2 linked regions of the Lepisosteus oculatus genome follow. The protein of the gene in region 1 interacts with the protein of each later gene in a pairwise test. Links are inferred from orthologs where the notes say so. Each region holds a gene or a part of one and is shown on either strand. Other genes may lie near its edges. The genes, in order: plin1 and abhd5a.

The links.
Region 2: the proteins of plin1 (region 1) and abhd5a interact in a protein complementation assay, tested with the Homo sapiens proteins (3 studies listed by BioGRID, with this or other methods). The link is inferred for Lepisosteus oculatus from reciprocal best matches to the Homo sapiens genes PLIN1 and ABHD5.

Annotation. Positions count from the first base shown.
Region 1 is NC_090700.1:52,664,173-52,676,400, reverse strand, and holds the start of plin1 (perilipin-1), read right to left. Parts: upstream 5,139-12,228; 5' UTR 5,020-5,138; intron 4,261-5,019; 5' UTR 4,247-4,260; coding exon 4,202-4,246; intron 3,798-4,201; coding exon 3,599-3,797; intron 1-3,598. Other genes in the region: pex11a (peroxisomal membrane protein 11A), read right to left, coding at 8,933-9,501, 10,387-10,502, 11,725-11,780. UniProt on the Homo sapiens protein: Modulator of adipocyte lipid metabolism. Coats lipid storage droplets to protect them from breakdown by hormone-sensitive lipase (HSL). Its absence may result in leanness. Plays a role in unilocular lipid droplet formation by activating CIDEC.
Region 2 is NC_090705.1:42,880,502-42,893,015, forward strand, and holds the start of abhd5a (1-acylglycerol-3-phosphate O-acyltransferase ABHD5), read right to left. Parts: upstream 5,730-12,514; 5' UTR 5,692-5,729; coding exon 5,660-5,691; intron 2,832-5,659; coding exon 2,751-2,831; intron 1-2,750. Other genes in the region: ano10a (anoctamin-10), read left to right, coding at 8,740-8,846, 11,318-11,463, 11,764-11,961, 12,407-12,514. UniProt on the Homo sapiens protein: Coenzyme A-dependent lysophosphatidic acid acyltransferase that catalyzes the transfer of an acyl group on a lysophosphatidic acid.

The sequences.
Region 1 (12,228 bases):
AGGGAATCAGGGAAGCAGCACAAAAAGGACACAGGGGGAGAAAAAGCACATCACCACACAGGTCGCTAAATATTAACTTCTTATTTTGCAAAACAAGCAAAGAAAATTTAAATTTTCATGTTGCAACTATATGCTTGATCAGTTCTGAAAGCATTTGGATGTGTCCTTATGTGTTATTATTTTATTTTTTTACAATATTAAAATAAGATATTAAAAAACAATATTAAAATCTGAGGTGCAAAAATAATTTGAGGAATTCTATAATGTAAATTGTATGCAAATAAACCTCTTAAAAAAATAATACATTTTCACCTTTAACAATTTCTGAGCAGGTCCGGTAAAAATAGATTTCATACATCTGTACAAACTTTTCAACCTTCTGTAAGTTGCAAAGCTTGAACATAGACCAAACCATTTTGAAACTACAGATTTGTCCTATTCTCGTGTCTTTCTGGTTTGTCCCGTTTATTTGACAGGTGATCAGGTCTATTTGTGTGCCAGCTTGGACCGGTTGAAATCAGTCCAGGTTGGTAGCCTGTTTCCAGATTCTCTTTTGTACATAGATCTGAAGATAAACTGAAATAACAGATTTCCACTGCTTTGTCTATCTGATCAGTTCTGATGTGGTCCAATCAAGGGTTAGGTTAGGGCAAAATAACCAATTATTTTCAATTTCCTTTAGTAATCAAAGCTCTCTATCCACAACCTTCCACATCATCACAGGCTCTCAGACAACGCCCGTCTCTCCCCTAGGCTTACCCTGACCTTGAGTCTTAGTGCCCTGCTGCCTGGAACTGAATCCTGAGAGAAGTGCATCTCATGTATTTACTGTCACACGCAGTTGCAGTAAGTCTTGGGTAGCCTAGGCGGTTCTGTCTAGACATTGGCAATGATCAGCCAAGGCAAAATAAAATGGAAAAGAAAACAATGCACTTTTATTGAGTAATAGTGTAACCAGTCTGGGATTTTACTTAAGCAAGACAGAATGGAAAATTAATAAATGCTTACGCACATGTTTAGATCAATGTGTCATTCAAAGTCAATAGTAATGCCAAAATGGTGTACACAGAGCTGTGCCCGGGTACATTTCAACAAAAAGTTGGGTGATGTGTAAAAAGAAGAGCTGTAAAACTTTAAATATGAAAAGCATTGTAAATGTTTGGCCGTGTTGGTCTGTAACCAACTGAAACTTTATTTTTTTCTAAAGTGGGGGTCTTTTGCATCCACAAATGAATAATAACACTGACATTTATCCCATTCCTGTGCAGAGCTGCTGCTGCTCTATGAATGGTAGGTTTATTAGCACACTGGCAGGAGCACATGTTATTCCACGATCACAAAGTCGGTAATGCTAGAGATGCTCAGGCCAGGCAGAGCTTATCCCACTAACACAAGGGCACTAGGCAGAACTGAGTAGACAAGAGGCATTCTCCAGACAGGTGGACAGTCTCCCCCCGTCTCCTCTGGTCCTCTGATCACAGGACCAGAGGGTGAGGGACCAGTAATAACAGCCAATCACAACTAATCAAGTGGAAGGAAATTTGAGGACCTGTTAATAATCCACACAAACAAAGAGAGAACTCAGAAATAGCATGATCCAAGAGACGGCAGCACAAGTCAACAGACTACTGTGTGGGCCGTTGCTGACATGGAAACTTCCAAAACAAAATTTTTACTGAAAACAAAAAACACTAATGCTACTTTCAAACTTAAAAAAGTGTAAATATCATGTTGAGAAACTCATTCTAAGTTTATTTTTTAAATTCATTTCTTTCACAGCGTGTTTTTCAGCTTTCTAAAATTACTTAGCTTTACCTTTCAGCTTTCTAAAATCAACAGAACTGGAGCTCTGAAAGCAGGGCTGTTAACATTTTCAGCTGGTACTGGCTCACTGTATGCCACAAAACTTGCACGGAAAGATGGAAAAATTGAGAAATAAAATAGAAATGGAGAAAAAAAGGTGTTGACATTACTGAGAAGAACAGCACAACTTGGTATAATACAATTAACAGCAGTGTCAGGTCTCAAAGGACAACCTGGAAATGTCTGAATGACAGAGATATCAGAGGATAGCCACATTACCAAGAACCTCCTTATTCTCTTGTGTGTGTGGGGTGTACATATGTATATCTTTGATATTTCAATTATTACACTAAACATAGTTTGGCACCTCACCTAAGGCAGAGATTTTTTCTGAGTAAGCTTAGCTACTTAAAGTGGGAGTATTTCAGAGCTTTGCTCTAAATCTTTTACAGAATGCATCTTATACAATATGTGCTGTTTTTCCTCTTGGTTTGTTAGTATCAGTACTGCAAACCGTAATGGGTTCGGGGAAAATAGCGAACATAAACAGCAGAATCACTGGGGTAAATCAGATTGGTCTAAATGCACTCTACGAGCTCAGGGGTCTATTGAAGGCTAGCAGGCGTCTGGATCAGGCCCTCCACCGGATAACAGCTGATAATCTAAAACTAACCAGGTGGAAGGGACCTGAAGTACCCACCCACACTCCCTGAAAACACCAAGAGAGCATAACAGCTCCACACAGACACAGAGATCCAGACAGTGCTGATCTCACTTCCATCTGGAAGACGCCTCTGTGCACAGAAATGTACAGTATCTGCGTAACTGTTGCTCCCCTCTGCAATTACACTTTAAAATAATGTATAAAAATATGAATTTTAATCACAGCTTTCACAGGACATGTTCCTGACATTTTGTTTTGTCCTGACCTCTTTTTTTGGTGGTGATGGTCATGTTGTGTTGGACAAATCTCCCCTGGTGTCATTAATAAAGCTTGAATTAACTCTCTGGAATCCCAGCACAGACCAATAACCTGCGCAGTGGCTGTCTGACTGTGTGCTTGTAGCCTTGAATACACACTTCACACCTCTACAATTGTTTCATATGGCAACAAAAACAAGGAAGAAAGGCACTGCCCTTATAAATACAGACTACTGCCCTGCAACTAATTCACTAGGAATAACAGCAGCCAGGAATTCAGTATACTGAAAGGTTTATGGATTGCACCGGTCACAATAAAATTTGTCTTAACCCCTTGGCTGAGGGCTGACCTCCTGGCCTGACGAGGAGGCTGGAAGCGAGAGGAGAGACCAAGGGCAGCTGCAGAGGTGGCGACGAGCTGAAGGAGGGATGCGATAGACTTATGCGAGGGAGAGAAGGGGATTACATCATTTTTAATGTTTAAGTGAAGAAGTTACATCAGAACTGATGGCGAATTACTGACAGCTGAGGCTGATCGAACTCGGCTGTGTCCTCCATCCTGAACGTTCATTATAAACTGCATTTACCGTAGCTCAAGTGGGCAGCTGCCTCAGCAGCCGTAGGCCGCAATGGAACAAGTAAAGGTTTATTCCATGCTGAAAAGAGAAGGAAAGAAACAAAGGTTCAGCTGTGGAGCCTTCTTCAGGGGTGCTTCTTCTACACCCGAAGAAGGCTCCACACCTGAAACGTTGGGTTTCTTTTCCTCTCTTTTCAGCATGGAATAAACCTTTACTTGTTCCATTGCACTTATCGTAGTCTAGCGTAGCGGGCGCACAGTGGAAACTGGAGATCCACGGGGCGAAGGCGTACTCACTCTGCGGCTCCAGTCTGTGGATGGCAGGCTGGATGCTCAGCACGGCCAGGCTGGTGGCCACCTTGGCGCCCGTCTCGTACACTTCGCAGACGGAGCAGACGACAGGGTGCACGTGCTTGGTGCTGCTGTAGGCCCTCTCGATGACAGCGAACGTGCCGTCGACCACCGGCAGGGCCAGGAGCCGGGCCAGCACGCTCTCCTGCGAGGGGGGTCAGAGCCAGCAGTCACTGCCCTGAACAGTTTCCCTTTTCCCCTTTTCCTTTCGTATTGTTTTCATCATCCAAGCAGATGAATTTAGAAGTTACCTCCTTGGCACACGAAAATCAATTTCTCCTTTAAACATTTTAATTTCATGTGTGCTTTTTAACAGGCAGCAGTGCTCCTTAAAGGACTTCATAGGAAGCTAACAAGCAACCCTAACTTTTCACAAACGGACCATTACTTTTGTGAAGGAGAAGTTAGGAAGATCTGGCAGTATTTGTACTTGCTGTATTTGTAAAGTATTTGCATTCAGTCATCATTCCAAAGGCAGTCATTGTTTTAGTATTTTTGGTGTATTCTGTGAAAACAAAAAAACGATTTTTTCAGAATGCTTTTCTGTACCTCTGTGCTCTCAGGTGGAGCAGGCACTGTCTTCTCTGTAGCCATTGTGGAAGTTCAGCCTGTCAATAGAAACAGAAACTGGGATTCTCCAGTGAACAGTCAAGAGATAAACTGTCAGGAGGTGGCGGATAACAATCAAGGTATCTGCCAGATCGTCTCCGAAAATGAGTTCCCAGAGTGAAGTTTCCCAGATTAACCGTTTCAAATAGAATAGCCCACAAACTAACACACGCAACCAACAACTTCGTATCAGTCATATTCCAGGCAAGCGGGTCAAGAAAAGCAAACAACTGAAAGAAGACTTTAATTTGGAAAACAGAGCCGTGCCACATCTAATATCATGAATGAAAAGAATTACAAAAAGCATCAGAAAAATACAAATAATCTCATACTAACACTGCACCGCTCATGAAGCTAGGATACCCGTATGATACACACGGCTTGCATTAACAGATTTTGTTTCAGTCCGTAGTCGAAAAAAACGTATAAATATGCTACAATTAAGATATTTTTCTTCATTGTACCCCTCCTGCTGAGTGCTGTAAAAACGCCGTTTTGCGTGGCTCCGAATTTCGACCAGTTTCACTGGTGTTGCAACTACGTAAAACTTATAAACCAAACCCGCAGTAAACACTTGCGAAATCAAGCACCATAACTACGCATTTTTAAGTGGCGAACTTGGTGGCACATGGAAGGGCTTGGCATCAGCTTCATTTGTGCCCTCTTGTCTTCTGAGCCCTCGGAATCCCGAAAACGTTATCTGTCACAACAGCGGTGCAGTCCTGATGCTTCCCGGCCGGTGCTATAGTAATACTCACTCTAGCCTGAAGGCGCAGCGCTCACTGTGTCCGCCACTCGGCTCCTCTGGGGAAAGGACTGAGCGGAGGGGCCTCGGGCAAATAGATACCAGCTGTCATTCCCCGCCCACATCGGTCCAGACCTGTCCAGCACTTCCTCCGCGCTGGAAAGCAGGGGTTTTTAAAGGCTCGTAGAGATGTAATGACTTAATGTGTGATGCTCAAATAACTCATGCATTAAGGATATCACGTTTTTTTTCCCTCTTCTCTAGAACATTTTCCTAAAACCCTTAGCTTACTTAGGATTTGGGACAGTGTCTCTGCGATTCAGTGGCTATGATGCCAAAACTGTACAACTCGGAATGTCATTTCTAAATAGTGATTAAAGTTTTTATTACATATACATACGACTGCAAATCGCAGTGATACCAGGATTAAACACCTAAAACCCAGAGTTATGGTTAATGCTCACTACGACAAGTGGGACACCGGGGAAAACGTAAATACAGTTAATTAATGGTATAATAGAAACCATAGGAAAACCGCGAAAATACTATTCAAATTTGACATGGTATACTCAGTTCGTGAAGCACTGATAGTGCACTGTGCTTTCTAATTAAAACATAATTGCACATTCCTGATCACGCGTTTAGAAGAGCCTAGTGTTCGGAGTGGCTCTACAATCTAACATTTGGGCTACGACTAAAGTTTTCGGTAAGGTTTTTACAAGTGTTTTATGATGTAGTTTAGGCCCAAGTAAGACTTTTTGCTACACACAAGGTATGAATTAGGGACAAAAAATGTTGTTTTTCGCGTTGGCTCTACTACGGCTCAGTTTAGTCAATAGTGTATAGTAAATAGTGAGTGCTCGAAGTCAGGGGAAAATTGGCTATAAGACCTAGCTGTTCAAGCAAAGTGTATGTTGGGTTATTGTTGGGTAATAAATTAAGAGAAAAGGATTACAATAGTAATAACAAATTAATTAAATTTAGCATAACAGAATGATAAAGACTTAATGTATTTGAAGCAGGTTTTGTTAGTCTAACAAGAACTTAACCCACTGGTCAAAATCTTAGTAATTCCCACCCAATAATGTTTTGAGCCACTGTTATCCAAACCTATCAATTTGTCTATCTGGATCCTCTTCACGAAGGCAATGGCCTACAGCAGGAGTTTGTGGACCTCCAGAGATCTCCGGAGACTGTTCAGGTGTCCCCGGAAACAAAGGGAGACTTCTCACCTTCGGGCTAAAATAGCTCTTACCAAGAGTGATTTCTCAACAAAAAGAGACCACCATCCAGTGTGGGAAATTCCTATGTTTGGGTTCGAACTGCATTGCTCCACCATTTTTCACTTTGTAACGGGTTTATTCCATGCTGAAAAGAAAAGAAAAGGAAACAACGTTTCGGCTTCAGAGCCTTCTTCAGGTGTGGCTCACCCTTCTTTTCAGCATGGAATAAACCTGTTACCTGTTCCTTTGCAGCTTACGCATGCTGATGCAGCCACCTACTTGAACTATTTTCAATTTAATTGAGATGGAGGGATTCTTCAGGCTAGGCAAGATTCTGGAAATATTTTTCATGCTCCTCAAGCCAGCTGTGGATTGCCTGTTATAGTCTCTCCATTTTAATACGGATTCATAGTATTTTGGCCAATTAATGTATGTTGGCAGAAAAACAATAGGTTCATGACCAGTGCAGTTACAACTATGTCAAATTACAGTGTTAGTCTTTGTTCTTCAATAAGCCCCAGATTTCTCTCTACTCATGTAGTCTGTGAGCAAATCCTAACAATCTGGGTGAAAGGTGATTTTTTGTGCAATCCTGAAGGATCATTTTGAAATCCTGAATCCGAGTCAAACATTCGTACAAGCTCGGTGTCACAGAGGACATTCTGTCTGCAACTCGGGATTGACCAGTCCCCTAACAACGAAGCTGGGTACAGTATCTACAACAAACAGCTTCTTCTTTCTGTGTCTGGACTTGAATCAAGTGGAACTGACTTTGAAACTGCTCTCCTCCTTCATTTGCATCCTCCACAGCATCGGTTTCAAAAGATGTAAATGTATCCATAAAGCAGCTTATTTCTTATTTTAGTTAGAATAGCTGCAATTCTAAAACTCCAAAAAGATATGCTATATAAAGATGATACAATATCACAGAGTATATAGTAGCTTTTAAAATGAGGATCTGCTGTCTTTAAACCAAAGTTCATCTCTGTTAAGGGTCACAGCTGTTTAAACAGAAATCGAACAAAACAGAATTGTTGATCCATCCATTTTCATTTGGCAAATATCTTTCTCTATTCTGATTAAAGAAACATTTAAATATTTTCAACCTGGTGAAATTAAAAAAAGTAATTGTTTATTTCAAAAGGGTCTGTTGTACAGTAGAATTAAAGTGTACCATTTCTATTAATATAGAAAGATAAAAAACAGCATAGAAACAAGTGCCATCATGAACATTTAATACATTTGTAGCCCTATGTATTTATTACATGTGCGTGTGCAGTTTACTTTTGTCATCGTATGACATACAGCACTTCCCAATACACATAATTATACTTTGTAATTTTTATAAAGGCTAAGGGTTGATTCTAACACTTCCTTGTTTTAAGGGATGCCTCGACTCTACATTTTTCAAAAACGGGAGCTTCAAGACTGTTTGCAGAGAACTTACAAAAAGTTCTCAGAACTACAAAATCTCAATTGTTACAATAAAAAGGAAGGCTTTATATGTTATTTTGAAGGTAAATCTTTTTCATTCTCATTGTTAATTTTGTTAAACACAACCATATACAAATCAATGGTATCTGCTTGCTAGATCTCAATATAATTTAGTTGAACATACTCTATATACTGTAACGCATACGGCCAACATTACAGGTTGTGCAAGCCGGTTGCCAGCGCAGTGATGTCACCGCCCTTCCCTGTGAATAGCAGGGACCTCAGCCGCTGAGCTGAGGGGAGATCTCCCTTTAGCTAAGCCGGCTGGGTCCCTGTTGAGTGACTCCAGAGGCCCAGGTTCGAGCCCCCAGCGGTGGGGGGCCGACTTGAGGCGTCAGCGGCGAGGATGCATACCCACGTGAACCCGAAAGCGCTACAATATTATTAATCAAGAACAGTTTTTCTATTGGTTAACATAATTTGTAGGAATGACTAGAAAGAAATAATTTAACTAGAGAACAAGTTCTGGTACCAAATGGGTGTGAGGTAGGAATAGTACTAACAGCTGGCAGTAGAAGCAGGTGTGTGCATTCAATATCTACCTCATTAACACAGACAAGTCTCTGTAAGTAGGTAGAAAAAATACAGTGCTTCCTTGATTTAGCCAACATCATACCAGGTAGTGGATTGAAAGATATTTGCTTTATGGAATAATCATATTTTCAAGAAAATATTGTCATTAAACTTAATCTTTGAATTCTTTCTTTCACTTATGAATGTGATGTTGTTTCAATTAAGCAGACAGCAGAATTTTCAACAGCACAGAGTAGATAGTTCTTCTCCTCATACTAAGTGAAGTGTTCTGTCGCTCTGTGGTCCTCTCATTACAATCTCCCAGACGTGCATCCCTTTCAAAAATTATAAATAATAAGAAACTGAAATTAGGTTGACATTAGTATTCTTTTCCAGATTGAATTCTTAATCCTCTCTTTTTATGATTAACCCCCTTTATATAAGGGAAAACCCCACACTTGCACTGGCAGCACGGTTTCCTCTTGCGAACAGGTGCTAATTTGCTCCCTGCCAGTGAAGGAGTAATACCCCCTATGGAGCAAGATCAGCACCCCCCGACTACAGAAAGTCAGCAAACAGCATTAGGATTGTTAGTGATCACTACCCATAAACCTCTGCAGCTCAAGCCGCAGCACCAAAGCGCTCAGCAATCTCTCTCGCACCACCAGCCACCTTGTCCCCTCCGCCGGCGCACAGCTACGGTTTCACTTTCAAGCTTGGCTGCAGGACTGAGAGTATTCCCAAAACCGAGGAGGCCAGCCCACAAAACCCCACCACCCCCGGGTTGGTCTTGTATATGCGGAGGCTGTCCATTGGGATGAAGAGGTCGCAGACGTTCTTCACCGTGTCCAGGAGCAGGGGGGGGTGGCTCCGGAGGCTCTCGCAGAGGAGCAGCAGAAAGGCGTCGAGCTTCGGGACCACCATGCACGCCACGTCCCCGTTGCTGCCGAGGTGCCGGCTGATTTTCTCCTGGACCTGCTTATCCCGGGCTCTGCGTCCCATGATGCGGGAGATCTGGTACAGGTCCCGCGCCAGGTTCAGGAGCAGGGAGACGAGGTAGAAGCGCGAGGCGAGCAGGCCCCAGCGCTCCTTGTCGAGGTGCTGGAGGAACCCGAGGCTCCTGGCCCACAGCAGGTTATCGCAGATGAAGTACAGCGCGCGGCTCAGGTGGGCCGCGGCCAGGCAGGCGCGCAGGACGGGATCGGAGAGCTGCAGAGTCCGCCTGGCTGCATGCACAGAGCTCACGGTGTTCCCCAGCCTGAACACTGCAGGAGGAAGCAGGCACAGGCACAACTCTGAGGGTTCTGTGAGAAACGGCTCCTTTCCCGTTGTCTTGCTCAGGAAAAGAAGGCGAACCCCGATTAAAATGGAACGTTCACTTTTTCAGTTATGACACAAGACAGTCGTGCGTCCAAGCTATGCAGCGTTGCAGTGGTCAGCATTGCTGCCTTGCAGCTCTGGGGTGTTGGGTTCAATTCTGGACTTGGGGCACTATCTGCATGGAGTTTGCATGTTCTGCCAGTGTTTGCAATTCCCTCCCCCCCCCCACAAACACGCTGGTAATTTAACTGGCCTCTGGAAGAACTGAACCCAGTGTGAGTGGGTCCATGTCTGTGTCTGTGATCGAAGGGCAGCTCGTCAAGGGTATACAATACCCTGCCCTGCTGCTTGCTGGGACAGACTGGGGCTCCCCCGCCATGCTGGACTGGGAGAAGCAGTTAGAAATCGGTCCTCCAGTGTGGACAGCGAGTCACAGCTCTAAAACACCAGCCACCTGCTACTGGTGGAGGTTCCTTGATTATGCAGAGATGTGAAGGTTCAAGAAGCCAGAAGGAAGACACTGCTCAAAGACAGATTAAAGACAAACCCCCCTCCACCCCTCCAAGATTAGGGGTATCCTTTATCGCGGTAGTCTTTGAACACTGCCTGGTATGTGGGGCGACAGGAAGACTCCAATCCCCGGTGCTGTATGTGCAACTCCTTTGAGAAGCACACAATGGAAGAGCACACAGCACCCCAACACAATGGAAATATATGATCCACATGCAAAGTAAATCAGTCAGAACCTGCAACCCCCCTTTGTAATTATAGCTGCTTTATTCAGAAGCACTTGACTGCTGGGTGTGTTTGTCACAGGAGCAGGTACTTACATTTCCTCCCTGCGCTCATATTCTTTTCCAGGTTGTCCAGCTTTCTTGCTAATTCTGCCCTTGCGGCCTTATTTCGTATCAAATACTTCAGCAAGGCGCATGCGTACTGCGTAGCTCTGAAAGGAAGCACATACTGCACTTTCAAGAGCGTCTTCCAGCAGGAGTACTGAAACAGAGTTTGATATTATTTTCTATTTTGTTAGACCTGATTGGGATAAAGTATTTGTTTTTATTATTTAGCTGCTCATTATTTTGGCGAAATACTTCATCCACAAAAGTAAATGGTCTAATACTGCTCCCTCTATTAATGCTTATAAGATAGAATTCCTTTTTTTATTTGAATTCTATTAGACATTTAAAGAATCAAAAGGCAAGACATATAATGGAAATATGTAAAAACCTTAATCTTCAGCTTTTATCCTTGTGAATTCCTCTGGCTGTGAAGCGTCTATTTCTGTAACTGTTTTAATATTGTCTCCTTTTTTGTATTTCTGATGTTTAAATATATTTTTTTAAAGTATTGAAACAGGCTTAGATCGTGTAGATATTAATTCTTTATGAGCTGAAATTTACAACAAGCGGCAAAATGTGCTCTATAAGATGGGAAATGAAAATACAATACAAATTTAAACCTCCAAGTAACATCATCTTGTTCTTGCTATTGTTACACCAGTCTTTTTATTGGGGATTCTGAAAAAGAAAACTTTTATCCAATGCTAGATTTCTTAGTAAAAAAGAGAAAGAAACTACATCTTTATGCACCTGCGTTCATGCGGGAAAAATAAACGCTGAATTGGTCAACCACCAATACACACAGTGATTAAAAATAAACTAAAACATGGTGATAATATTGTGGAGCACGCCGATTGTCGATCATCTCTCTCCGTTTGAATTTGAAGGAATAGGAATTCTAGATCATCCTACTCCTAGTGGGAAAGTCGGGCGAGATCGCATTTCTGTAAATGATTTAAATCGACTACGTAACTTAAAAACTATTTCACCAATCCCTTAAGCGAAAGAATCTTTGACAAAGATCACATTTTTTTATTTTGCACGCTCTTATTTGATTTGATTTTGCTTTATTCAGTTCGACAACAGGTGTCATACCAACTCGTTCCACTTAAATATGATATTAAACACGTCTTTTAATAACAGCCAGGCAAAAGGACATTCTGTTCACCGTTTATGAAACACACGCTTTAATTCTACATTATAATTAATATGCGATCTTACTACTTTGAGTGTCTGTTTGGGGACATATGTCACTTCAGTTCGTCAACAAGACACTGCAGGTTGTAACACAACTACAGGTAGTAATACTATAATCGAACAACTTACCTGAAAATCCGGTCCCTTCCCTGGCTTTGGTTAGTGAAGTTTATGAAATGTTCCATTATAAATGTTTCTCAAGATTAATAAATTGAACCTGTAAGGCACCGCTAATGGAACGAGGTACTTTTGTTTTACAATATGGTCGTGTGATGTAACATTCAGCAGAGCCTGCAAGTCCAGGAAAACGGACGGCAGCGGTAACTTTTATTTAACGCCTGCCGGGTTTAACGAAGGAGCCCGTTTTTTTTCTCTTATACAAAACTGAAGAAGCTACACAGCTGAAGTAAGCGCTGCCAGACCTTTATTTATGGAGCCCCACTGACGTGAGGAGATCCTAGGCTCCCTTTCACACAGACCCGTGGGAAACAAAGGTCATTGTGCATCAGCCACGCTCGTCCGCAAACACGGCTCGTGTAATAATACAGAGCACAGCAGCGCGATGAGCTGTGGTACCAGATAACCCCGAAACGAGTTCTCCATTTATGCAGAGAGATTGATCTTTTAGTGCAA
Region 2 (12,514 bases), on another chromosome or scaffold:
ACAGAATCCAGGTTAAAAGTGATATAGTAAAAATATTGTGCAGAGTGCCTTAAATAACATAAATCCCCTTTGACAAGCTAATAGTCTTAAAAATTAGAAATTTAGCATTAACAATTAAGATGTTCAAAACTAATTTGAAACATAAAAACTGTCCCAGTGTCTCTGGTCTCTTTATTGAAAAGTTAATAGGTAATGGACATCTTGCTTTTTCTCATTAAAGAATTAGTCCAAATTATGTTTTGGCTCAGTTGTGGTCTCCAATTTCACTGCAACATATTTAAAAAATGAAACAAATACCTTAGGTTATCCTATCCTTAGTTCCAGAACTAAAATTATGTTATTTAAGATTCCCCAGGGCCTCTGAAAGAAAATACTAAGAACATAATCCTTCTTAGGGGGAGTAGTGAATTCAGTTTCACTTACAAGGATTTGCCAATACTATCAAACAGCAACACATCTGACATTGAAATCCAAGAGTTGTACTTCTCGCTCTCGCTTGTTGTGACACTGAGAGTGTAACAAAGGTGCAAGCCATCAGCTGGGGATGTACAGGGGTAACGCACTCGCCACCACTCAGAAGAATGAGGTCCCAGCGCTCACATCATGGCAACCATGACCTACATTCCGAAACAGAAGTGCAAAGCTTCACGATAATCAGAGTCCTACTTACTGCCATTCTTTCCCAATCAATGCCGTTATGAAAAAGGAACTGCCACGTTAAAATATATTCAGAAAATGCTAATGAAGTGCTACTGTACGTTATACCACAGAAAGATGTCGATTGCCTTCAGGAATTCACATGTGTTTTAAAGAATGTGAATTCTTAAGAAATCTCAGAGATGACAAGAAACCAATCACCCCAACTACAGTCAGCACAGATCTCTGCGACTCCACACACTGTACGTCCTAAGCTGCACCTAGCTATTTTGAATTGTTTATGAAAACAGATTGCAGGATAAAATATCTAAAAAAAAGGAATCAGTAATGCGGAAAGTAATTTTAATTTCAAGGTCTCAAGCTGTTTTCTAGCTTGTTTAATAAGAGAGTAAGCAAAGCTAAGTAAGACGAGGAACTATCTCTGTTCTTTCTTATCTACACACGGCTAGAGACGATATGCTGAGGAAGAGCTGAAACTTTGTATTTTACCCTTTACTTTTCGGCGTGGAATTAACTTCTTGTTCCCTTACAACTCTCAGCTCCCCACTCTCACCTCTTCATTGGTAAGGTGATCAAATCCATATCAATTGCTGGAGGTGATACAGTGTGAGCAGCTGCTTAAATGGCAGACAGTGGCACAGTATGCAGGGCAGACACTGATAACAGGTGCTATAGGGATACATCACAGAGAGCTTTTGATTCACAGTAGTCAAGTACACTGCACGTGTTCAGGAAGTGGTTCTTCAGAAGACATTTCTGGGGGTTACAGGACCAGCTGCATGGTTTGTTTAACAGCACATGTAATTTCGAAATATTTTATGACAAAACATGTATTTAAAAATACATCTTCCTGCCATACCTTGTGGCTGTGCAAATAAGCCATAAAACAAAAAGTGCTTCCTTTTTTTAGTTTTGCTTTTGACTCCATCTATTCCCCATTCAGATCAGTCTAAAGTGGAGACCATGGTGTAAAACCCTACTGTCACAGGCCTTTGTTGGCTCTTCTGGAACCTTCCAGGTAAATGTTTGTCCCATAAAACTGCTGGGTCTTTTCAAAAGGGAAGCAATTGAGTTTCTAAATCAACTGCCGTCAGACCCTTCACCTTGGAACAGAAATGCAGAGGCTCGGAGCAAAACAACATTGATTATCGCTCAAAACCTCAGAGAGGTATGTTTACTTTGCACTGTCTTGTTGCAGTCCAGTGACCTGTGACTAATTGATTCTTGCCTATTTATCGTGTCTTCCTCAAATAGTTCTGAACAGCAGGATGTCCCTCATAAAGATTTTGATACAATGCAGCAGACATTTCTAACAGATTTTTCACTTGAGTGTAATCTATGTATTGAAAGTACAGATGGTCACAGGAAGGGAAAACACAAACACAACTGCCGTTTAGGTAAGCTCTTCAACACACATTAACCTCTTCACCTCACTGTGCCTTCACATTAAAACAACAGACTGTTCATAACACATGCTTTACCCACATACATTACAATACCTTAACAACAGTGCAAGAAGCTCTTGAGATTTCTTTAACAATGCAGTGAAATTGCCACTTTCCAAACGTGGGACACAAACAGAAGTGACAGGAGAGAAAAGGCTCATTTTCAACCTGACTGATGCAAACTGTCTGTACTTTTATAAAAGTGCAACTCTTTTTCCACACATGACATAAATCAATTAAAGTGAATGAGCAACTTAAAAAAAGAGGTTGCACACTAAGCCTGTATGTGTTACTCTGCCATAATAAGATGGCAATGGCAGTGAACTGAACCCACAGTAAAGAGAGAAGCCTATATCTACTAAAGAACTGAATATCAAATTGGGTTCCATGGGCAGTTAAGGTTGAGTGATAAGCCAGTTTAACTGATTGTTTTTTTTCTCTCAGTCAATTAATGTAAAGTGGTTTGTGAATTTACTTATAAATGGCAGCAATCGCTGTGCCATGAGATATAAACCTTGTCTTGATATAATGTCACGCTGTGAAATGGCCAGGCAGAGTTTGTCACAATGAATGCAGTCAGTTATTCTCTTTATTAGTAGTATTAATCACAAGCCAGAAATCATGCAATACGGTAGGTGAGTTTGTTACCTTGAGGTAGATTCCAGGAACCTCAAGAATTTGTAGTACAGAATATGAATACCAAGATTCATCACAACTCGATGGGCAGTTCTGAAGTAAAAGAAAAAGATGTCTTTCATTCATTTGAACACAATATTGTGCCCTGAATTTTGTCACTGTTAAAGACGAATCCCAGTACAACATTTATGTAGATTTTTTATGCCCGGTGAACTTGTCATACATTTTATATTCACATGATAACACCTTTTTACCTACAAGTGCTCGCAAACACAAGAGGAATGAGCCTCTTATTCTGCTTGTGCAGTACTATTCTGCACTTGATGGCCAACAGCATGGGACACACACAGGTAAAGAACACAAACTGAGACTGTGGGGGAACACGAATTTCAGCCATGTGTTTGGGATTTCAAGACAGAAGCACAGTTACTATCAGCATCTGTGCAACATATTAAGAATCTCAACTATTAAACAACTGAAGGCCAGGAGTAGTTAACCCTAACCCTGGGGAGCCACTTAACATCAGATGTATATGGATTACCCTTAAATCACCAATTTCTGAGATCTTGGGTCAATTTTCTTGTTAACCCTTACATCACATTCTGCAAGTAAATGATTAAATGAAGGAGTTTAGCATGGAGCAGAAAATGAAAATGCCATCATCATGAAGCTCTGAAGGATCAGAATTGGCAACTCTTGGTTTAACTGAATTCATTCACTTACAACATCAAGACTCACACATCCCTATACTTTCCAGAGGGAGCTGTGCTGGACTCTTGAATGTGATGTCAGGTAGTTGACATTTTTAAGAATGACTTGTGCGCAGCAGGGAATGCAGACACTGTTCGTGAAAACACTGCATTGATTTCAAAACAACAAAAACCTTCTGGTGATCTTATAACTGCAGATATAGTATTCTGCTGCTTCCCCTCAAGACAGGAAAGCAAACACAGTGAAAAGTCCTGATTTTGTGTTGCACTTTTCGTATCATTTTTCTCACAAATTACACTCAACCGTTAAAGATCCTCTAATTCCAAGAAAACACAGCAAATAAATGCAGGCACGTGTGTCCCCCTTGAACCATTCAATAATTGCAATAAAGGATTTTTAATGCTTTTGAAAATGTGTAGTGTAACGCTGTAACTATAACTTGACCTAACCCAGCATGGCCAGTATATATCCAATTAATTAACGGTTACAAATGCACTAAAACGTAGCTACTTATACAGTTACTTACATTGTAACTTGCCATACATAAACCTGAATATAATGTAATTCACAAGTATTTAACTACAGACTCTCTCAGATGAATTTAACCAGTTAATACTCCTGACTTCTAATTAAAATCATCCACAGTGGAATTTATACACTACTCACACCTGCTTGCAGTGTAAAAGAAAAACGCCCCAACATGAAGTCCCTTTTACTCCAACAGCTAATTTGCAGAGCAGTAGTACTAACACTTCATGATTTCCAAACCTTTGTACAGCTACTTCATTTTCTGAACGGGGCTGAGACAAGATCAAAATAAATGTGTTGAATGAAGCGTGTGGTGTCTTCCAAAAGTATGTTTCCAAACATGTGACCGATCGACAGTCCAGCAATCTGTACCTGTGATAGTGAGGCAGGTCCAGAGATAGCCACTCACTACCTACCCAGGCCGGGACATTCCCCGATCCTCACGCCCGAATCCGATCGGATGAACAGACACACGCATGGCCACCTCTGGAAGTGCCTCTCGACTGTGTTAAGGAAGTAACGCTGGCAGTAGCACTGTTTTCTGCAGCCTACGAAACATTGTCTGCTTACGTAGCGAAAAAGTTTCCATTCCAGGGGATAGCACTTCACCAGGCGGTTTCATAACGTCCCAAAACATATGGTCAACAACCAAGGCAGAGCTCAGTGGGTTGCAGACTCCATGTAGTTATTCCCTCAACATCATACTGCCTTTTCCACTCTGAAGTCTACCCACAGGGATTGTGCCCTAATGCTTCGGATCACTGATACTGGGATTTGCTGTCCCAGTATTTTTTTATGAGATTCTGATATGGAAAAGGGGAATACCATATGTCATTTTAATTAGGCACTGATTTCAAAAATTAGGTGCAGTCGACTTCATGTTCTGAAAAAAATGATTTTTTCCAATTAACTTTGTGCAAATGTGACTGAAATATACAACGGGGGTCTCTATCATGACTGTATAATGTGATTGGGCTACAACGTCGCACAACAATACAGGAAATGTAATTTTTGAAAGCACTGACCACAGCATTTGGTAAAAAGTGACTACTTAACCTCATACAACTAGCAGCTGTGTGGGTCTGTGCAGGAAACGTGTTTGGTAACAGCGGGCGGCTGCTGAGAGCTCTTGCTTAATTTCCAGGCTCTAATGCAGCCCAGCAGGCGAACTTCACAAAGCCAGACACGGAGAGCCCGTTCCGATACCACGACCTATGATCCTGTTCAATATACCTCTCTTGAATACAGACATTAAAACAGCATATAAACGGTCAGTAGTGTCACCCATCACTTAGTTCAGACATCAGTGCAACTGGCAGAGTAGGGACACACACATACCGCATCAGGCTAGTAACACAGCAGCGGGTGAATACAAACCGCAAGTAAACATGCACCCAGTTAGCTCCACTTCTCGTTAGTCAAAGCATTGATACACTGACACGTGAAGATGTACAGTAAGTTTGCTGCTGTTATTGCACGCTGTCAAGTTTCACAACCCAAGGTCCCGGAGATGAACAGTCCCAATACGCATCACAGAAGCGGCAAGCGATTCGACATCCCAAACAGTTCTCGCTTTCACCCGCTGTTGGTTAAGTTCGAGATTCTGAAACACCCGAAAGGGCCATCGCACTCAAAAGTGAAGGCTCCCGAATTGTTAACCAAAATAAACACACCGCACTCACCCTCTCTCCACTGACATCGCCTCTTCGGCCATCTTTCCCAGCGCCGACCTGCAGTGACGTCACCTCGCCGCGTCACAGCGGGGGGCGGGGCCAGGGAGGGGGCGGGGGCGGCGCGTACGCTCTCCGGGAGAGCAGGCGAGGGGTGACCTGCCATCTAGCCGGGCGTCTTTCGTGCGGTTGGGCGGGACGCTCCCCAGCCTGGCCCTCCTCTCCCCATCAGAGCAATGCAGACTCAGCACAGAAGCAGGATGATCACGCAGCCTTGTCTTCCGTGCTTGCGGAAGCGGGAGGACCCGCTGCGACCGCCCCTCACAGGGGTGTACGTGAATAAACATAAGCATTGGTTTGTTTGTTATTTTCCCTTTTTTAAAAAATCTTTTTTATTGCAATAACAAACGAAACAAGAAAAATACACACAACACAAGCCAGAGTACATATAAAGATCATCAGGGGTACTCAACACAGGTGCATTGTGCGAAAAAAAGAAAAGACGAGTTGAGGTAAATCAAGATGGGGCGCGCCCAGCCTTCACGTTCCTGCGTTCAGAAAGCGTGAGGCCAGTGAAGGCCAGGGACCTAGATGTCTGCCTCAGGTTTCTCGTTCCATTTTCAATGCTGCTGCAGTGATGTTATGTCGCCTTTCGCCAGTACATGACTCTTTTCGGTCAGTACTAATCCGGTTGGAATACTGTAGTATTCAGTGAAAGGGAATATCCAAATAAATAGTGACTGTCCTGTCCAAATTGCATCTTTCTATGGAATATAGTTCTAGTTCAGGAAATCGCGCAAACCAGTTTTAAAAACTCACAATAACACGAACTTGCACTAAGAAAAGGTGATTGCACTTTCTGCTTATTACTATGAGTGATTTTGTCTCTCTTACCTTAGTGTCTGAATATTGAGATGTTTTGGTGATGAGGAAAGAGGGACGAAGCAAATAAGCAGAAGGTGTGCTATTTTGTTGATTATAAATCCTCACATGCCATGTTCACAGGCTCATATTAAAAATTCAGTGAAATTCCCTGAAGTTCAGGATTTTGAAAGTCAGTTACATTGTCTCTCACACCTTGGTGTCAGCTTTGTGAAACGAGTTTATAATCAGGAGGGAGGGCCACAGCGAGACAGCAGAAAATGCAATCACCATTTGCCCATCCATTCTCTCATGCCATGTTCAGAGGGTCTTATTTAAAAAACGGAACAGTAACATTTCCTGAAGTTCAGGATTTTTGAATGTCTGTTCCATTGTTTCTCACATCTGAGTTTCAGAATTTGGAGACGTGTTTATAACCAGGAGGTAGGTTCATAGCAATAAGCAGAAAGTGCGATCCCCCTTTGCTCGTCCTGGGTTAACCGTATATTCTCATATGCCATGTTCTAAATATCCCATTTAAAACGGCCATATTCAAATTTCTTGTAAAATGCAAGATTTTGAGACTAATAATGATCAGAAGGCAAGGTCGTGGTAAATATGCAGAAAGTGACAGCGAATTCACGTTTTGCCTTTGCCTTATTAACTCGTTGTCTAACACGCCAGTTTGTGTTATTGTGAGTTTTGAACGTTGGTTTTCGATTTTCTGACATGTGTTTCACACAAAAATGCAATTTGGACAGTCACCGTTTACTTACATATTGCCCTTTACTGAGGATATGTACAGTAGTCCATCCGGATTAGTATTTAAAAATGACCGAAGAGAGCCATCTACAGGCGAAAGGCGGCATAACGTCACTGCAGCAGCATTTAAGGTGGAACAACTCTCATCGCCGCAGAACGGACAGGACGGACAAGTGCACTTAAATATACAGGATAAAGGCAGTGACCAGGTCCCACATGGTCTTTGTAGCTATATATGGGTTCAAAGGGGGGGAGTATATTCTGTGTATAGTACAGTATCCAAAGTACTGTATACTTTATATATTAATATGAAATAATATGAAACGTTTATCCTCAGATGGAAAATAGGAACAGAAAATCCGGTTACATTGGCAGTGGGATCCTTGTCTGCAGGCTGCTCTAGGTTTAGAACGCAGTATGTTTATTTACTAAACACAGAAGAACTAGGAACACACAAAATACTACCCCACTATACCGTTCCCTACAACCCTACTGTAGAGTCGGTGCTAATTATGCATAATGAGCATTTATGTCATTAGCCTCCGCTGAAATTGTGAAAACGATGTTTTTTGCAGGTTTTGTTTCAGAAATAGAGTATAATGTGTTGGTAAAACTGATGGAAAAAGTCAGATTGAAATAAAAAAATCTAGTTTTACATTTATAGAAATATTTTGGCTTCAGAATATTACTTCTCTGCTCCATGATTGAGAACAAACATTTCTTAAAATTGTTCTACACTGCTCACTGCCAATGGCTACCTTAACACTGCAATACAGCTACGGAGATTTCAATAAATCACTGTTCACCCAGACCACAAAAACATGTCTTGTGAGCGGGCATTACATCTAGATAAATCCATTGAGCAACGTATTTCCAGTTATGAAATAATGTCGATGTTTCAGACCCGTTTTACAACAACACCCTCACATGACTGCAGGATGAGCCAGGGCAGGCGGTCTGGACTTTTTAAAGAGAGAAATTGACTCTCTCTTTAACCGAAGAAGAAACAAAAACTCTCCCAACACAGGAATGCAAGGTAAAGAAGAAGATCACATGATGTTATTTTTGCTATACTTGTAAACTGCAGGCATTATTTTTCTTTTTTATTACAAAAAAAAACTGAAATAAAATGTGTACAACTTTCCAGGACAGACTCTTAAACCAGCTTCAGTTCTTGGCAGGTAGATAAAGTTGTCTTAGTCCAGTCTTGCCAGAAAATATGCAAACCCAGTTCATCTTTCACAAACATGAACAATCCTCTTTAAAACGCTTTTAGAACGAATTCCTGACCCCCAAACAGAGCCAGCGTTGGCCCGCCTTATTATTCACATACGGGGACATTACTCTGCAACCACCTTCAGCACGTTTTCGGAAAGGAAGTCACTAGCGTGTCAACTGCGGTGCAGGATTTCCCTCCGAGCTGCTGAGCTGCTGAGCTGCGGTCCGGGCGCTGCAGGCAGGCTGGGTGGATGTGTGTGTGTGTGAGTGACTGGACCAGCTCTTCTGCTGCGCCTCCGCCCGGCTCGGCGCACGGTGACGTGGAGAAGCAGCAGGGCGCACCACCAAGCAGAGCTCGGTAAGAGCCGAGCACAACAGCCGGGAAGTAGCCCGTCCGTCTCATTGTAACAAACACTGATACAGTGGTCACATTTTATTACTCTGTAATCATTTCCTTATCGCAGACCTGGAAGAAAAATCTGGGAACGGGTAAGTCTTCTCAAGCAATGACAGCTGACATTTACTCAAACACGGGGCCTACGTCTCGACATTGAGTGTTTACGTGCTATAATGGGGTCAGGACGCAAAGAAGGTTTGTGGCTGTCAGTAACTATCTAGGCTTGATATCTTCTGAATGTTTTACACATATGTGTCTCTACGGCAAGTTATAAGGTACAATTTAGGAAAACTCCGCCCTGAAACAAGTCCATGCAGTTACTAGCAGCAGATTCGGGTATCTTGCATGTCCCCCGTATTGTGAGTTGATTAATAAACAGCGCTTTGTATAATATTGAATTATTAAAATATAATGTTTGGTCTCAATTTAAAATATCAAGATGTAAAGGCATGACAGTCTTCATTTGAAACTACACTGAGAGTTTCACGCAGTTTATTTCTTCAGTGCTTATTTTTATTTGGAGAATTGTGATAAGCATAACCTCGGTTACTAATCTAGTTTTAGATCGAGAGTTGTTGATATATTTCATTTCATATATAAACGCAAAGAAGCCTTTTTATTGCACAAAGACATAGAACAAAACATAATGTACTGAATATGATATGAACAGTGTTGCACTAGGAAAAGGCTTTAAGTGTATCTTTTTTCAAAATTCAGGTTCCAATTGTTACTTAATTTTGAGGATCAGTAAATTAAAAAATCAATGGCCCTGTTTTTAAACGGCTAACTAGGGAAAGAGCAGTCTAAAATTCAATATTAATCTTAGAGGACACAAACCTATCCAGTAGTGTTCGGTAAAAAATAACTTTACTGAGATATTACGATTCTAGCTAATTACAGAGACAGAAGGAAACATCCAAAATGGTTACAATGCTGTTGAAGAGCATATTAGTTTATAATAATACCCTGCCGACTACAGCCCAGTGTTAATTCCCTCTCCCTATGATCCCGGATGTCCAATATTCAAAGGGACTCAATCTACCTGATTTAAAACCCATCACCAAATCAAGAACAGAACAAGGTCCACTCCCCTACTGCCTCTGTTTCCGTCTGTGAATTCCCTCTTCCTTTCTCCATTTCTGCTCTGTGACCTTTCTCTCCCCCGTGTCATTTTGTGTCTTTTTTTATGTGTCTCTCTGTGAGTCAGACGTCTGTTCTTCAGTTGTGATTGACCAGAGAAGAAGATGTCTTTCGACCCCCTGTCCCCCGCAGCCCGCCCACACCTCGGGAAACAGCTAGATTTCTACCTCGTTTTCAATTCTGTGACCTCTTCAAATCGTGACGATATTGTCAAATATATCCTGACAAATTAAATGACGAAAGCATCTTTTAGGCATTCTGTCGCACGCACATGCCAGTTATAAAAAAGAAAAGTTCATCACTATACTGGTCACGTACAGCCAAGGTTCAACAGCACTCAAAGGTTCTCGCTCTCTGGATTATAATCCTGAAAGACGCTCTCCTGGGATCTCCCTGGCTCCATGGCTGTGACACAGGCCCCTTCGCTGGGCAGTCACGACGCGCTGAAACTGAAGTTCATATCTAACAGTCTTGTAAGTGCGTTTGAGTCATTAGGTAACACTCAGAAATCCCTTACGCACCTATATTGAAATAAATATATCGTCTTTTTTTATTTGTCTCTTTGAGTTTTTAATTAAAAAAAATGTTTTTAAACTATTTTACTCGATGCTCTCGGCGACTGCCTACAGTAGTTCGTCTGTTTGGGCGTGCCGGCCTGCATGTACAGATTGGGGCGGCTTGTCACCCCGCGGCGTGATTGGGCGCAGAATGGCAGGCAGGAGAAGTAGCTCCAGCCTCACTTGGGATTGTTGCCCTTCAGGAGAACAGGGGGAAGAGCTAGTCCTGGAGAGAGAGAGCGAGAGATTGAGGGATTCACTCAAGGGCCATGAGGATACAGAGGAAGAGCGCTTCTCTGTTCATCAGACAGTCCTGTGATACTGCCGGTCTTAGGTTGTGATGCGATTTGAGCTCGAAAGTCTTCTCTCACCCAAGGCAGGGGTGACCAGTAAGGTCAGGAGAAGTCACAAGACAGTGGTTAAACTGGCATCAAGGTACAACACATGTGCTCTGTATACTGTGTGTAAGTTAGAAATCTCCAAGTGCAGTTTGGAATAGCTCATTTTGTTTAGGGAGGAGCAGCTATCTGGAAACAGTTCTTATTCAAATGTGTTCGCCCTCCCTTTGGTCACTGGGACTCCCCCAGCTCTTGTTCTTGGGGTGACCACCCCATAAGTAAGACCCCCCTAATGGTATCAATTTAACAATTTAACAGTCCTGCCAAGTCTCCCAGACCAAACCACCTGTCTTGCCGGCAGTTTGTGTGAGTTTCCCCTGTTGTGTTGTTCAGGAAGCCTGGAAATGAAAAGAGGCTTGTCGAATTCTCCCAGTGATGGCGTCTCATTCACTCCATTGGTGGTCCTTGAACTGGTCGAGGACACCAAAGAAGAAGCTGTGACTTGGCTACTTGAGAAGATACGGGACAAGCAGGAGAATGGAGGTAAGAAGTGCAGACACTGGTGTTCATGTCTTCCTCTTCTCTATCCTGTGGAAGCTTCCAATTACACAGGGAGCCAGTCATGTGCTGTTTCTGTCTCAGTCGGTTGTTATGCTTTCTGGGGTTATGTTTTTAGCTGACAAACTTATCTTTTGGCCTGACCTGTTTTCGCCCGTTTCTGGGATCGGCCTGTACTGGACAGGAGTGCCGCGTGGACGCGTCTCTCTGCGTGTCGGGGCCCGCCATTTGTTCGGTGTCGGTCGCCGGCTGGGCCCGCGCTGGCTGACAGTGATTCTCTCGAAGGGGCGGAGCTGCTGGTGGGGCGGCTGCCGAAGGATGGCTGGGGCGACGGCGGAGGGAACCCCAACGTGTTTGTCGTGGGGGCCTCCAGAGACAGGCTGCTGAGTGGCGCCGAGGACGTCGGCCTGGTGAAGGAAAGCAACGACGGGTCGATGCGAGGATTTACGTTTGTTAACAGGAACAATTTTAAAGATTTCAAGGGTAAGGGCATCGGCGCACATCAGTGTGATTGAGGACGGTATTTCAGATAAGTGGACTAGTTCGACAGTTAGGTTAGAGCAGTCACGGTGTTGTTCAATATTATGTTCAAACTAAATATCGGTAGTCTTCAGCCGATAGGTCTGCGACAGGACCTGATCCGGGTTTTCAGAATCACTGAACGAGGTTCCAGTGGGCGTCTTCAGAATCAATAGTGAAACTGCAGAACACAAGTCCCCAGGTGGAGACTGAGAACAGGAGGCATTTCTTAATGCCAGGCAGTCTTGTTATTAAACACAGGCAATAACGCAGCTGGATGAGACCCTTGGATTCCAAAAGGGCTAGATCAACCAAATAGCCTTTTTATGTTGTCTAAAATCAAATGTTGTCTTTGTATGCACGGATTCTATACTTGTAGACGTTAAAGACTGTCGTTGTTTTTCTGCAGGTGACAGTGATGAGTTCCTCAGTGTGGCGGAGTGTCAGTACATTATTAAGCATGAGCTGGATACTCTGAGAGCCAAGGAAGAGAACAGTGTCCCAGGCTATGCGAAAG